Linked DNA regions of Lytechinus pictus. The protein of the gene in region 2 interacts with the protein of the main gene of each other region in a pairwise test. Links are inferred from orthologs where the notes say so. Each region holds a gene or a part of one and is shown on either strand. Other genes may lie near its edges.

Region 1 (6,964 bases), on a different chromosome or scaffold from region 2:
AACAAGGCAAAGTTTGAATCAAAGTCAAAATCATCGTTGAGGAAGCTTTCCACAGGGGCACTGAAGCATTCAGCGTTGCGTGAGTTGAATCCTCCTCGGTTGTGCTTGCGGGTATTACCTCCACTGATCTTGACAGGCGATGATCGTGTGTGGTTGCTCTCGTGGTTCCCTATATCAAAGAGCAACATATCAAGTGATGCAATTAGTATCATACTTGCAATGCACACACTAAAATGACTTTCAAAGGAGATTTACTAATCAGGGATGCCAGTGACATATGACTCCAGGGCCTAATTTTTTTTCAGATGGAAAATTATGCACGCAAAGTCCCTACAGCCAGGATCCAGCTCTAGGGTTATAGATGCTCTCTGGCAATCTGAGCATATTTTTTGTATTTTATTTTCCAGCTAATCTGTGGTGGGATCAAAGGGAGAAATGGAAAACACATAGCACTTATGTTAAATTTGAAAGAGACAGAAAACTGGCATTCCTGACTATTGATTTATGCAACACTTTTGGGATCACTGTGCATTAAATCGTCATGTTGATTGCATGATTGAGATTACAAAGCACCTTCAGCAGCAAATAAGAGCATACTATGGATGCCGACTTTATCAGCAAACTACAGTGTAGGACATGAAAACAAATCACTGATTGAGATCCAGAGGTAAAAATTGTTCATTATTTAAATAAATTATCTGTTGGGGAAACATAAATATCTATGACTTTATTATTTGTTTTTAATGTGTACAAGTTGCCTGGTCTCTAAACCAGTAAGACGCCATTGGCATCAAAACAAACAAGGAAATTCCTGGCATGGTATCGCCCAACAAGAGAAAAGATGTAGTCTTACCAGAATAGGTTCTTCTCCTTCCTTTGTCTCCTCCTTGCCTGTATTCTTCCTCATCTCTACCTGCATTTTCATTCCCACCTGATCTACTAAGTCCATCCACGCTATGGACCCTCTGAAACCCTGGTCTACCAGGTCTGCCACTATCATCCCCTTTCCCTTGGGGCATCGAAAACGACGCAGAGCGCTTTGCTTTGAACCCAACCCTCCCTTTCTCCTGGGAGTCTGTTCCTGTGGTTTCATTGCGGTTTGGTGAGTGAAAGGCAGAACGCTGGCTGTGATTGAGATGGTTCTGATGTTTGTTTTTCTGTCCACCTTCTGTACTGGATTCTTTGTACGTTCCTGCAGGGGTTTTTCTGTGGGGTGATTTGCTGTGAGCTCTTTCTGAATTTCCTGATCTCCTTACTGCAGTCAGACTGGGTTTACTCAGCTCCCCATTCAGCTTGTTGGTAGATGTGTCTGTAAATTGAACAGACAGTTTTTATATTGTGGTAAACTCCTTTTCAATTCTTTCCCAATACTTAAAAAAAAAACATACCATCAATCGGAATGATCAGACGAATATCACTTTTAACATTATCTCATTAAATCATATCTCATTAATAATAATTTATTTGCCATTTTAGTCATAAACATGTTAGCAGAAGCAAATATTTTTTGACAGTTCATCATATCAATATATAACATTTGAGCATCCTACAAGTTTTTAGAATAAGTCCACAATCTGGACAATGAGAACAAATATCATTCAATAGTCAATGAAAATCAAGGCTTTTGTATAAGTAACCATTATATGATCATTTTGGCAAGATAAACTGAATTCATGTAAAACAATCAACCTTAATCCATGAACCAAAAAAATCTTCTAGACCGCATTCTAAGCTTCAAACTTCATATAAATTCTTACATGTACCCCACAACTGAATTCAAAACAGATAATACTGTAAAAAAAACTCATATACATGTACATTTTCTATACATAATAGGATTTTAAAAATAACTATGTACAATGTATGTACCTTTGTTATTAGAGATAGCGTCTCCATTTACTGCTTCAGACTTTGATTTACAGCTGACTGCTTTGATGATCGCTCTATTTTTCTCTGCCTCTGCCTTCAAATCAGCACTTGTTTTCAGGATCTTCAGATCTTTGATGTCTGAAGCTCTGAAATAAGAGTGTTTATAATCATTCTTATATATCATTCTTATACAAACCTCGCAAATGCGTACTGGGAGTACCCATTATATCATTTTACATGTTGATTCTTCGTCTAAATTCGTCTAAATTAAAAGCATCCTTTCTATGTAATGTTATTACCTCCCATAAGATCAAAGGACCATTTTAGAATGGATTAATTAATGTAAAGGACCATTTAGAATGGATTAATGTATCAATCAGTATGCTTATGAACTGTTGGAATTTCATCAAATGGTTGAGAAGCGGTATTATACCAAAAAGAAAATAAATATTTAAAGCCTGAACATGATTTCTTTTCATTCCTGCATTTGATACTGAATTTTACTATTGAATATACAATTTTAGATCACATTTTCACACAAGTGCTTTATGAAGTACACGTAAGTTTTGATTGATAATGAATTCAATCTTATAAATGAATAATCTTTAGATTTACCAGTTTACTCCATAAATGCTTTAGAATAGAATATGATTTCATGAATATAAAGTTCAACACACTCATGTCAAATGATATCAAGTTATGTTTTTTTTTCATCAACTTATATTTATAAGTTAAGTGAATCAATGGAAATAACTATTTCAAAATTTCACAAATTAATGAAAACTGCAAGCCATGTCTCTTCAAAATGTTCAAAGTCATTTAAAATAAAGTAGAGACAGAAATTTTTATTTTTCTTTAAGGTCTTACAACAAACCTCATTGTTACTTCAGGAACACCATACTTGACTCCATTCCTGAATGCATTCTTAAGAGAGATAGTTTGTCCTTTCTTGCACACAGAAGAAACTTCACCTTGGAATGTCCCTAGGACCGGCCCGCAGTCTAAGGACAGATAGTTCCCAATGAAGCTTTCACTAGCCATACCTTCTTCCAAGTAGCGATCGACAGGGAACACTCTAAATGAATTCAAGCTCTTGTAGTCTGGCCAAGAAAATCTAGAAAATATCAAAGTAATTGAATAGAAATACTGCATTACTTTGTAGTTTCAAATGTGATATTTGGAAAATATAGATACATGTATTGCCGGGTAATCTTTGTAATCCAAAGTTTTTGTGTATTATAACCCTTACTTCTAGCTGTTATTTTAATATAAAATTCCCTTATTCCTCTATAACATTGATATTACATTGCTATTATTCATAATGATCCAGACCATTTCATATTTCATAGTCAGACACAAATATATATCTTTATTGTTATTCTTTCATCCAATTTTCTATTCCCAACTTGCCACGAATTAATTCATTTTTAAAGTAGAAATATATTGAAAATCATAAAAATGAAGAATTATATATCAAATTAAAGGGGAAAAAAGGAAGAACACGATGGTGTACATCATTTATCATGGAGACCTATGGAACTCACTTAATTGATAGTTTAAAGTTCTCTCTCTAAATGCTTCAAACACGCTCAATTACGTCCGCAAAATTGGGTTTTTTTGATGACGTGTATAAGTGTACGAGAGACGTGATTGGCTCTCCCACGTAAAGCTCCACTTGCATGCAAAACCTGTTGCGAGGGTACGTTTTCTCCACACTGTCACTGAATACTTCGATCACGAAATGAAAGAAAACCCAGAAGTTTATTTAGATTTTGGATTTTCAAATTGATGATTTTGAAGATGAAGAGAATGATGATGAAGTTTCTAGCTCTAGTGACGTGGATGGAGGTAAATTAGGGGTATCACGTCTATGATGATGAGTCTGACAATTCAACTTGCATGCCGATTCGCTACCAACTCATGCAGCTGCTAGTGCAGTGCTGGCTGCACGTAGGCCTTTTTTTTTCAGAGGCGAAATTGCAATCTGCAGCTGGTTTCGCACCGTAATTTTTGGTGAGCAGGAAAGCGAGGTCAAATTGGGCGCGCCCTTTTTTGAAACTTTTGTTCCTGAGTGTTGTTATGGTCGACTATTATTTTAACTTCGAACAATTTCGGATCTTGGAGCTACTTGACATACATGTAGCCATAGAATTTCTACCATGGTGAGGATAATAGCAAGACAAAATAAAATATGTATACATAAGAAAATAATAAGACATCAATTTGTTTATGCTACTGCAGGGCTTCTGGCTCAGCGATGACTCCTTATAACTCATGTTCCTTTTTTTTTAATCCCTCAACATTCATTGTGATAGTGATAGTACTTCCTTAATTTAATATTCACACATGCAAATGTACATTGGTCATTATTAAAACCAGGAAGTTGAGAGGTAATTCCATGGAGGTAAATCCCTGTAATAGAACCATGCAACTGTATTAGCCCGCAGATTTTCATCTCACCGGAAGCATGTACCAAATCAGGTCATTTAAACACGTTTACGATCGTGATCCTGTTTATACTTCCCCAGAAACCCTGATTCTGGTCAAATGTTTAGAAACGCACCTTTTCGTAAGTTTACGATCAGCGTTCTGAAACGTTGTTTAAATGAAAGTAAGAATGGATGCAACAGTGTTTTGGACTAATCACGTATGAAAATGCTGAGTCTGGCCTGAAAAAGTGGAAGCATAAACATGCCCTTAAACATTTTAATTATATACATGTACATGTTCTAAATCTCTAAATGTATAAATATTTGTTTATTTATGTTACCAAGCATTGCATAGGCCTACATGTAGATATTTTTTACTCAGATTTTGATCTTAATTTTGTGTATGATTTGATGATTTTTGTTGTAAATTTTAAGCATAACATGAAAAACACAAAAATGTAACAAAATAAAAATATATTTTTTCTAAATAAAAATTAAAAAGTGGTATATGCCTAGATAACAATTTAATTGAATGACAGATGTTACTGACTTCAACCCATCCTCCCGCTCTGAGTCTACTTCTATATCTACTCAGACCCAGTCCCTGAGACAGCATCCCAAGGCCACTCAAACTACTCTCGCCATTATCCCGCAAGATCTGAAAATCTCGAGGGCATCTCAAACCAGTCTCCCTACTAGCCAGAATACCCAACTCAATCCACTAAACCACTCTAAACAGGATGCTGCTTGTGACCCTCCTGAGGATATGTTACCAATTCCATCTGATTGCAAATGTACCAGCCTCTCCAAGAAGCTAAGGGACACCAAGGATAAACTCGATAACATCATCTTATCAAAAGATGTCCTCCTTGTGCAGTATGAACAAGTGGTATCCAACTTACAACAAGCCAGGTACGAAATTGAGTCTCTCAAAAAGCTCCGTTCAGCAGATTCCAATCACAAGAAGAAGGCACAAAAAACAATAGCAGACCTAACATCAGAGCTCAACGGGAAGGAGAAAGAAATTGTATCGCTCTTATCCTCAAATGATCATCTTGTTGCTATCTGCCTGAACCATGACATTGATGAGAATGAACTTCCGTATCTTCTAGAGGACAAGCGTGCTACTGGACATAGCAAGGTGAACAAGGTGACACACCATATCCCTCCTTATTCTCACCTGGAAACTTCCACCACTCACAAAGTTTCTGTTGCACGCCAAGGAACCCCTGTCTCCACATCGAATCGCTTTAGCATTCTTTCAGACCACCTGAATGACTCGCTACATGCTTCCTTTGCTGGAACAGAGGAGGAACATGGCAATTCTGTTAAGCCTCATCCTGCATCTAATTACTCACAACACACACATAGAAAGTCAGGCCAAATGTCAGCTGAGACACACAGACAGAAGAAGGATGATCCTGGCTACTTCAAGAAAACTGATCAGGATCTCCTCAAGACAAACCATCTTGGACCCTTTCCTAGTGATCCTAACCGTGGAAGCCATATCAAGCCAGCTGACTCTCCTTCTCAAAGGAGAGCTTTCCAAAGCCATCCTAAGCCATTGGACCCTAGAGATTCTTCTTCTAAAAGTCAGACTCCAACCTCTACTACCAAAGTCGATGTATCTTACTCGCCCAAGAAGCGTCTTGTACCTAAGTCTGCCTCCCCTGTAATCTCAATCCATGCCCAAACTTACTCGGCGACCAATTCCTCCCCCCTGAGAGGACAGAATAAGACCTCTACTGGACTGAATGACCGTACCAACCGGGGCAACAGTACCAGATATTCTCCCCAGAGACGAGAGAATAAGATCTCCAATGCACCAGGAGTCACTCCTGCCCGGAGCAACAGATTTAGAGACTCCCCCAATAGAAGACAGACTAAATCTTGCACTGGACAAGGAGTCACGGCTACCCGGAGCAACAGATCTAAAATCTCTCCTTCGAGAGAGCAGAATAAGTCTTCTACTAGCCCAGGAAGTCCCCATCCCCAGAGCAACAGACCCAAAGATGTCATGCCACCTAGGCAGAATGCAGATACCTTTGCACCCAAAACCACTTTCATTCCCAGACTTGATCACCCTACAACACCTTGCCAAATCCCACCTCTTATGGACATCAGAATTCAGAAGAGTCCTACTTCAGCAGCTCAAACGCAAATGGCACCCATACAGAGTCGTGCTTCTACCAATACCGCAGACACTCATAGTCCTGATCTCTTTGAGCCTACCAGTCCTCTTACACACTCTACCAGCTGGTCAAGGAATCCTTCAAAAAACAGTCAAAGAGGCTCGATTACCCCAGGCCAAAAAACTCCTCTTACCAGGTTGGACAACTCCATTACCTCCCAATGTAGTGAATGCTTTGTCCTGTCTCCTACCAACCCTCTATCAGCCACTTCACCACGCAATGTCCCTTCACCTACGCCACTCCTTCATGCAGGAAATGCTCGCCGCCCCTTTGCAGTGCAGTACCCACTACTCCTACCTCCTCTCAGGCTCCCTCAAGGTCTGCTTCATCATATTAACAGCCCCCCACAAACACTTCTCTGCCACATCCCAGTAGCAGTGCCTCTGAGCGGAACCCACCACATCCTCCTCCCGCCCAACGAGTGACAATCCATGCAGCTCCTACTTCATCAATGCACCGCCCAAACTCAACCCC
Region 2 (7,790 bases):
TTTAATTGATTTATAGAAAATTGCATCATTCGTTGAAAAAAAAACGTTTTAAAACGATTTAAAACGTTTTAAAACAATAAAAAACGTTTTATTTGTTTTTTTTAATAAAAAACGTTTTTTATTACAACCCTTCCTTAAAACCTATCCTTCTTTATAATTAGATTTTGCCACTTTGTATGTAAGCTCTTGTTGGCCTAAATGGAGAAGTAGGTATTCGCAATAATTCTCTTTTCTGTATATCTGGATATTTCATTATCGATTTGATTCCTATGAATAAGAGGTTAATTGATTACATTTTTATTGTTGATTCCAGTAATTAACTAGTAGATGTGTACACCTCCAGTTAAAACTCTTCTTGGAGTATTTCGGTGGAACATCATACCAAGTACCAAGTACTGGAAATTCTGCACATAGAAATACCAGTATTACATTATAAGCACCTTATTATTATCATTAATCACATACCTTGTGGGATACCGCTGTTTTCAACCAGAGGTTCGATGACCTGAATGGAATCGTCCTCAAGATAGAAATAGATCTTGCACTTCCTGATGCGATACTGTTGCCTCATCTCATGAACAGCCTCCTGGAAGAAGGCGTCAAAGTGCAGAACCTGCTTGTCAAAGGCCACCCAGGACGGAGATGAGTTGCCTTGGCCCTGGGGTATGCTGCTTGTCTCAGGCTTGAGCTTCTGTCCAAGTCGTTTGTCACCTCCGATGCCTGGCTTGTGTTCTCCGACCATCATGGGTACTTCATTACTGTAGTCGAAGTGCTGCGACTTGTGGAATTTATCTTTCCCCAACTGACAAAATATGGGAGAGGAAAATGAGATACAAAAATTAAATACCATGATTGGACACTTTGTTTTTGTTGGCTCAAGACTTATATATCTAGATTCTATACCGTATTTTTAGAGAATGTCAATTGTTGACTCATTCAACAAATGTGTGAGATTGTCCCCATAAATGTTAAATGATTGAACTTCAGTGATATTGTTCTAAAATGACTAAAATCAAATCCGTCCCTGTCCCTGTAGATTTACTCCTAGTATCTACTCTTAGTATTTAAAAATTGTCTGTGTTAATTACATGTACGTCTTGTTTAGAAATTCCTCCAAACAGACAGATTTCAGCTAACCTAATGTTAACCCAGGTAGGCTCAACGCCAGCAGTCACACAAATTGATTTTTGTGACGCAGAGTACCGGAAATGTACCTCAAAACACCCGCCCAAAATACTGAAAAAAAATGGAAACCATGCACCCACCTCTTGGACTGAAGTTAGCAACCAAAAACATGCAAACTGGTGAGCTGCCGTGGGCAGATCTTCTGATCATTAACTTCAGTTCTAACTTGGAATTCGTTCAAGTACAAGTTTACCATTTTGTGTGCAATTTTGAATGGGAGAGAATGGATGCCGCACTATTTTTTTTTTTTCAGGGTCAAGCTCCTGAATACTACTTTTTGATGATAGGGATCCTGTGAAAAAACATCGATAAAATTGAGGTGGGTGCATGATGTCCATTTTTTATTTATTTGGGCCTGTTTTGAGGTGGATCTATTAATTATTATGGTAAGGTGCCCCAAAGGCAAAGCCCTCGTCTGCGTACACGAATATCTGTGCGATTCTAATAAAAGAAGATACTCAACGACAACAAAATTTACACCTGAAATACATAGATGTTCTGAGCTAGACCCTCGCGCATGCAATGTTTTGAAATCGGCAGCGAATTATTTATACCTGTGAGCCGTGAGGAACTCGATGTTGGCTCTAAATCACAAATTTTGAGGCTAACCGGGGAATGGATTTGGACTAATTGGAGTTGAATTAGGATGAGAAGTAAGAAATTAAGCTTCTTATTCTTTTTAAGCAAGTTTCGGTGTAGGATTTTTACAAAAAATGTGCAATTTTTCCCCAACTTTGCCACTCGGGAGTCACCCAAGGCCAGGGTTCATTACATGCCGCCGCGCACAGAAAAATCAAGCCATAGAACTAGAAGTCGTGTGTTGTACACCAGAGGCAGAAGTGGGATCTCAGCACGTGCAACCCACTAGTTAGAAATTCACTGCCAAACGCGGCTCATGGTGCGAGGTAATAGTAAACCTCGCAATACATGTGACTGAGTGCTCGGGAGTATCAGATTCAGAGCGAGTTTTGGATCTTGATGTTCGGGTAGGTGGAGCGTAGTGACTAGTGTAGCTGCCTGTACTGACTGTAGTGAAGAGGAGTGGAGCCTGCACGAACATTGCTTGAGGTAGGCCTACCGGTAATTTGTATCTAACTTTTCCTTCCTAAATCTCTGTCAGATAATTCTTAATCTTGATAAACCTTCTGGCTTCTCCATATTTTTTTTTCAATTTTAGTTTACTTTTTTAGTGGAGCCTGGAGGGGACCGTAATCCGATCGGAGGGGACATTTGGAAGTCTTGCCGGCCAAATAATAATAGTTTACTGTTTAGAACTCTTTCCTTACTGGGCACTGGATTTTTTCCCATTTATTAATCTCAGTTTAGCTGTGATACTGTGACTTGTGAGTGTACCCAGTCCCATATATTAAGTTTCATTTCAGTTCGCCAAAATTCAATCTCCATGATGCCGGGCATGATTAATCAAAACACATTCAACATCACCATCGCCATCATCGGCACTCATCTCATTCTCAAAATCAAATTGGGCCATTGGCGCTGCCCCACTGGACTCTACGGTAGGGAGTCTAGCTGGAGCTGCACTGCCACAAAATTCAGTCAGCACTTCGTTTTCCTCTGTCTATGAAACTTACCCTGGGGTTGAAGGAATTTCCTGGTAAAAATGGTAACGACATTTTATGACTTAATGTCACTTAAATTAGCTATTAAAACTTGTCCAGCGCTGTGTTATTCTCTCCTTTCGCCTTGTTCCACTAGCTGCGGCTGATCTGAGTGACTGATTTTTCTTTTCTTCACTTATTTTTCGCATGTGTTATACACACTCCATTCACTTTGCACGCAAATCACCGGTTGTTATTGTGTGTCCAAGAGACTTGGCAACACAGCGTTTTCGGTCGCTATGAGTGACATCACGCAATGAGGGGTATGGCCTTAGTGTTGTACCGGGTGGCCAATATGCAAACCACGCCTCACCAACTCATCATGCTATAGTCTGCAAAAACAGACCCTGGTTGACACTTAAAGCAACACCGAGGGTCTTGACAAAAGTCTAGTTCAATTTTCCCTTCTCATTTTCAACACATACAAATGATCAACATCATTTTTTATAATAGGCCTACACTCCACATCAGGGGCGGATCCAGCTTCCGCCAATAATGTTACCCCATCAGCAGCTCAAAATTGATTTTGGTTTGTTTCTTTGAAGGAGTAATCCCAACAGTCACTATAGCAGAAGGTTTTGATATATATTCTAGCCTGATCGAATAAACTAGCACTTAAGACATATTTCGTCCGTAAAAAGTATTTATTTAACAATTTATAATCACAAAGGGAATAAGAAAGCATAATTAAATATTCTTCATATAACAAAAAATCTATATAATTATGAAACACAAACATACACATAAAACAAACACATAAAAACAGGAACAAAAAACCCAAATGAAATAAAACAAAAATAATAAAAACCTCACCTCGGAAGGACTGCTCCTGGGGTAGAGGACTATAAGGATGATTCTTCAAAGTGTTGCCATTTCCTATAAAGGTGAAATAACAAAGTTCCCCTTTCCAATGCAAGCATTTTCTCTTATTTTCTATTTTCAATTAATTTATCCTCAATTTCGTTTACATTTGGAGGTACCCTGTTTTCTCTACCAGTGAAGATCATAAATCTTATCAATATTAACATATGGTTTAGTTTCATTTATTCCATTATGAATTGGTTTTCAAGAAATTCCCTTAAAAATTTGAAGTTTAATCTATCAGTACATGTTAATTACAAAAGTGATTATGATCTTACTTTACGTAATAGGATCGCATCATCGTACAGAAACACCAGAATCGTTCTCTAATCACTCATAAAACTACTTCTAGCTTGTTGTGGATGATTTTGTTTTCACGTTTACGGGACTATACTAGCCTGGCATTATCACATTTTGAAAGTGCTTGCCTGAACAGATCTAACTTGATTTAATTGGTCAAACTATCTTCATCTTTAATAATCAAATCTTCAGTCCTGATTTAATAGCTTGCGTTACGGAATCCCATCCCCTCTCTTTTGCTCTGCATGTTCCCATGCATCTCTTTTAGATAACTCACCCACTTACTCATCCACCCTGCTCTTTTATTCATTTTCCGAGTAATTTTCTCATTTACTTCCATATTTCCCAGTGGTCGCTCACCCCCAACTTTTTGATAAGGGGTATTACATATTATAATACTCCCAGTTTCCATCCCACCCTGTTTATTTCTGTCCCTATCCAAATTAGGAATCTCTTCACAAAGTGAACAAAGTATGTTTATCATTATTACACATTTTTTTATTGACATGGGTACAAAGGAAACTGATCAATTGAATGAGTCCACACAAAGAAATATTCTTAACGGAGTTTTATAATGAAACAGAACAATTTATTAGTGCACTGCAAGAATTTTTCATGTTGACGCATGGTAATGTTATCTTTAATGACGTACAGGCGATACTTTCAAACAATTGATTTTACCATGGACCTACTAGTAGATGTTTTTACCAAGGATGAATCACTATATCGATACCTCCTTGACATTACCCACGTTCAAAAGACATGTAACTGGTAGGACACGGGTATCTCAGACATGCCTGATGTGGAAAGGGGGAACATTTCATGAAACTGCTCCACGTATCCATTGATATTACCGACTATAATTTGTGATAAGCCACTGAAATCTTTACAACTGATTGGCTCATATCATTTTTTATTTTGTTTTATGAAATGCTGCACAGGGCAGAGCATCACGCAGGCAGCTGTGAACCCCAATGCTGGCAACGGTTAATCAATATTTCTATTTGTTTCCTTTCTTTTTTGCAATTTGATTTGCGTCACGATGTTCAGAATTTTTACCGGTTTAAAACAAAAAAGTTTAATGCGAAGACAAATAACATCTTCGTAGACATGACATAACAATAGTAGAAGAGTCATGTGTTTTGCATCCAATGGGAGCAAAAGAATGGATATGGCACTGGGCATGCTTGGAAAAAAAACCACGATATCTACAACATACCATTTTCATTATATGAATTAATATTCAAGACTTAACAAAAATAGCATTACTAGTGTACTAGAAACATTTTTGTCTACCAATGGAATGTCGCATGAACAATAAATAATAATAAAAGAATCTCAATGTGTACGCATTATAGAGTGCATTTATCATGATGGAGTTTATCGATAATCCAACTTTTTCATCAAATACATCTCTGTCTACCAAGGGAATGTCGCACGTAATATAGAATAGTAATGAATAATGTAAATGATAAATCTACAGTGCGTTTATTAAGCTTCTACCATGTCTGCACAAAAGTAGAGTATATTTGAATGATGATGCTTATTAATAATCAAAACTGTTTATTAAGATTGAGTTATTTTCATTTAAAAATATACTTATCCCGTATATTAGTATGCCTAAATTAATTGGTATAATAGTGAATGAATAATGACTACGTTAATTAAAAGAGAAATTATCTCTGCAACTGAAATTTATCTACAAGAGTTTAATGTGAAATGCTAAAATATATGGCACTATACTACGATATAATGTTCATAGTTAATTTCAACAATTGGAAATTGTGAAGGTTAATATAGAAACTGATGACTTCATCTTTTTTGTAGAATATATACAAAAAAAGTTAATACAGGATTAAACTAATGCAATTCATCATAGATTACTTACTTATTTCTAAATTGCAATAAAAGATATGACAAGTAACGCTCATCCGTGTAGTATCATAGCAATGCAGTATCAATATTTGTAATGGGGTTGATATATTCACAGTATCACCATAATATCATCTTGATTTCATCGATACAGTTCACAACGGTAAATCTTCTAGGTTATCAGTTTCATTCGAAAGCAACAATTACACTAATAAACATATTTATTTATAATTATATCAACATTTATATTTCACAACTTGATTTCGTTTTGAAGCAATTTTGTTCATTAAGAAACGTATGGTAAAAGATATCGTTTTGTTTTGGTAGAAGAAACACCAAAGTCATCATACAACATGACTCTAAGTCTTAATTTAGAAACGCCGTAGTAAGGGTAACATAATCCGTTATTAATTTACATTGCATATTATGTTTTAATTCAAAATTTGATATCAAAATTATTATATATATATATATTATTAAATAAAAACATCGATGATATATTTAAAAAAAATCAGTAGCAGAGTAGAAACAAGTTTGAAATTCGTCTGTTAATAAGACAATATATTTTTGGTGTTTAATATGTACATGTTTAAACATGTGCAACAACAAAATACATATTTATACTCTGCATGATTCACCTTACGCTCAATTGAAGACGATCAATCGATGGATTTACGTACAGAAAGCATGTGTTAAATAAATGACAGCAATGCCATAATATTTGTTTTCTTCTTATCAGGAAAAGCGTAGAAAACATATTTGTCACTTGAAAATATACGATTAATACAGATTGTTCTTCATCATTAATTTTAATAAACTTACATGGCATTCATGTGATTCTTACGTGTAAAAGGTGTGTAAAAGTGTTGTCATGTTTTTAATCAGACATATACTACATGTAGTTCTTAAATTTAAAATATGTAGCATCAAAATTGGGGATGGGTTTATTAATCAAATTTGCATATTGTGTACTAGATGAAGGAATCGAATCAAACAAAATGATGGAAAATACTGAATTGCTTATTTGAATATGATAAAACTTTGCCACCAATACAAATTGAACTTTAAGGTTTTTTATATGTCTCTTTTGGAGCATTAAACATATTAAATGTATATCTAGCCCTATTACAAAACAAAATCATCTCATTTCTATTGTTTTAGGCAAAGTTTATTTTCAACCTTAACTCGAGTTCCTACTTTCATTTAGAGGAAATCTTAGGTGATTGACAATTTCTCCTTATTTCGTGCGAAAGAACAAAATGTCCCCAGTCTCATGAGTCGCAAATTCCTATCATTTATCATGTATTGGCATACACAACTTCTTCTGTATCCGGTAGGTCATCTTCCATGGAAGACACACCAAGAGAAGTTGACGGCATCTGCATAGGTTTCATATCCATATAAATGTGAGTCGTAGTCTCATCTCCATCTCCTTCTCCCGAGTGAAGATGGTTGATGGACTGTCGGTCATCAGGCTCACTCTCAAGTACCATACCGTCGGTATTCATATAATAGTGGGTTTTCGCCCAGCGTCGTACGACGCTATCTACGACGTAGAACGATCTCTTTGTTCGTGCGTCCGTCGCGCTCAACTCTCGCTTGTAAGCAGTTTCGCAAATCGCTGAACGCGGCCGGATCGACCGGCTGGCATGGTTGGCATGTAATGTTGACACGCCAACATGTGCATTGTATATGTTCCTACTATGTGCACACAACTGGCAGTGCCATGTGTCTTGCAGTCGCGTCGTCGACCGAGCCATGCAACGGCTTTTCAATCATATTTCAATAATCATACTCGTTTAAACTTCTACTGTAACATTTTGAAATTATACTTAGCTTGATTTTAGTATAATTGAAATGGTACTCACCGAAAAACTCGCATTCGAGTCCATGTTTTGAAGCTTTCAGCTATCAGTGTAGTCAGAGTAGAGTACAACATGTGCATGCACGCGA

What was found.
Region 1: the proteins of EF-hand domain-containing family member C2-like (region 2) and enhancer of mRNA-decapping protein 3-like interact in binary tests that used the Homo sapiens proteins (3 or more experiments, as listed by UniProt). The link is inferred for Lytechinus pictus from reciprocal best matches to the Homo sapiens genes EFHC2 and EDC3.

The regions. Positions count from the first base shown.
Region 1 is NC_087249.1:27,566,800-27,573,763, forward strand, and holds the start of enhancer of mRNA-decapping protein 3-like, read right to left. Parts: upstream 3,008-6,964; 5' UTR 2,911-3,007; coding exon 2,744-2,910; intron 2,016-2,743; coding exon 1,870-2,015; intron 1,310-1,869; coding exon 854-1,309; intron 170-853; coding exon 1-169. UniProt on the Homo sapiens protein: Binds single-stranded RNA. Involved in the process of mRNA degradation and in the positive regulation of mRNA decapping. May play a role in spermiogenesis and oogenesis.
Region 2 is NC_087260.1:22,384,366-22,392,155, reverse strand, and holds the start of EF-hand domain-containing family member C2-like, read right to left. Parts: upstream 3,007-7,790; 5' UTR 2,820-3,006; coding exon 2,778-2,819; intron 803-2,777; coding exon 466-802; intron 1-465. UniProt on the Homo sapiens protein: Microtubule inner protein (MIP) part of the dynein-decorated doublet microtubules (DMTs) in cilia axoneme, which is required for motile cilia beating.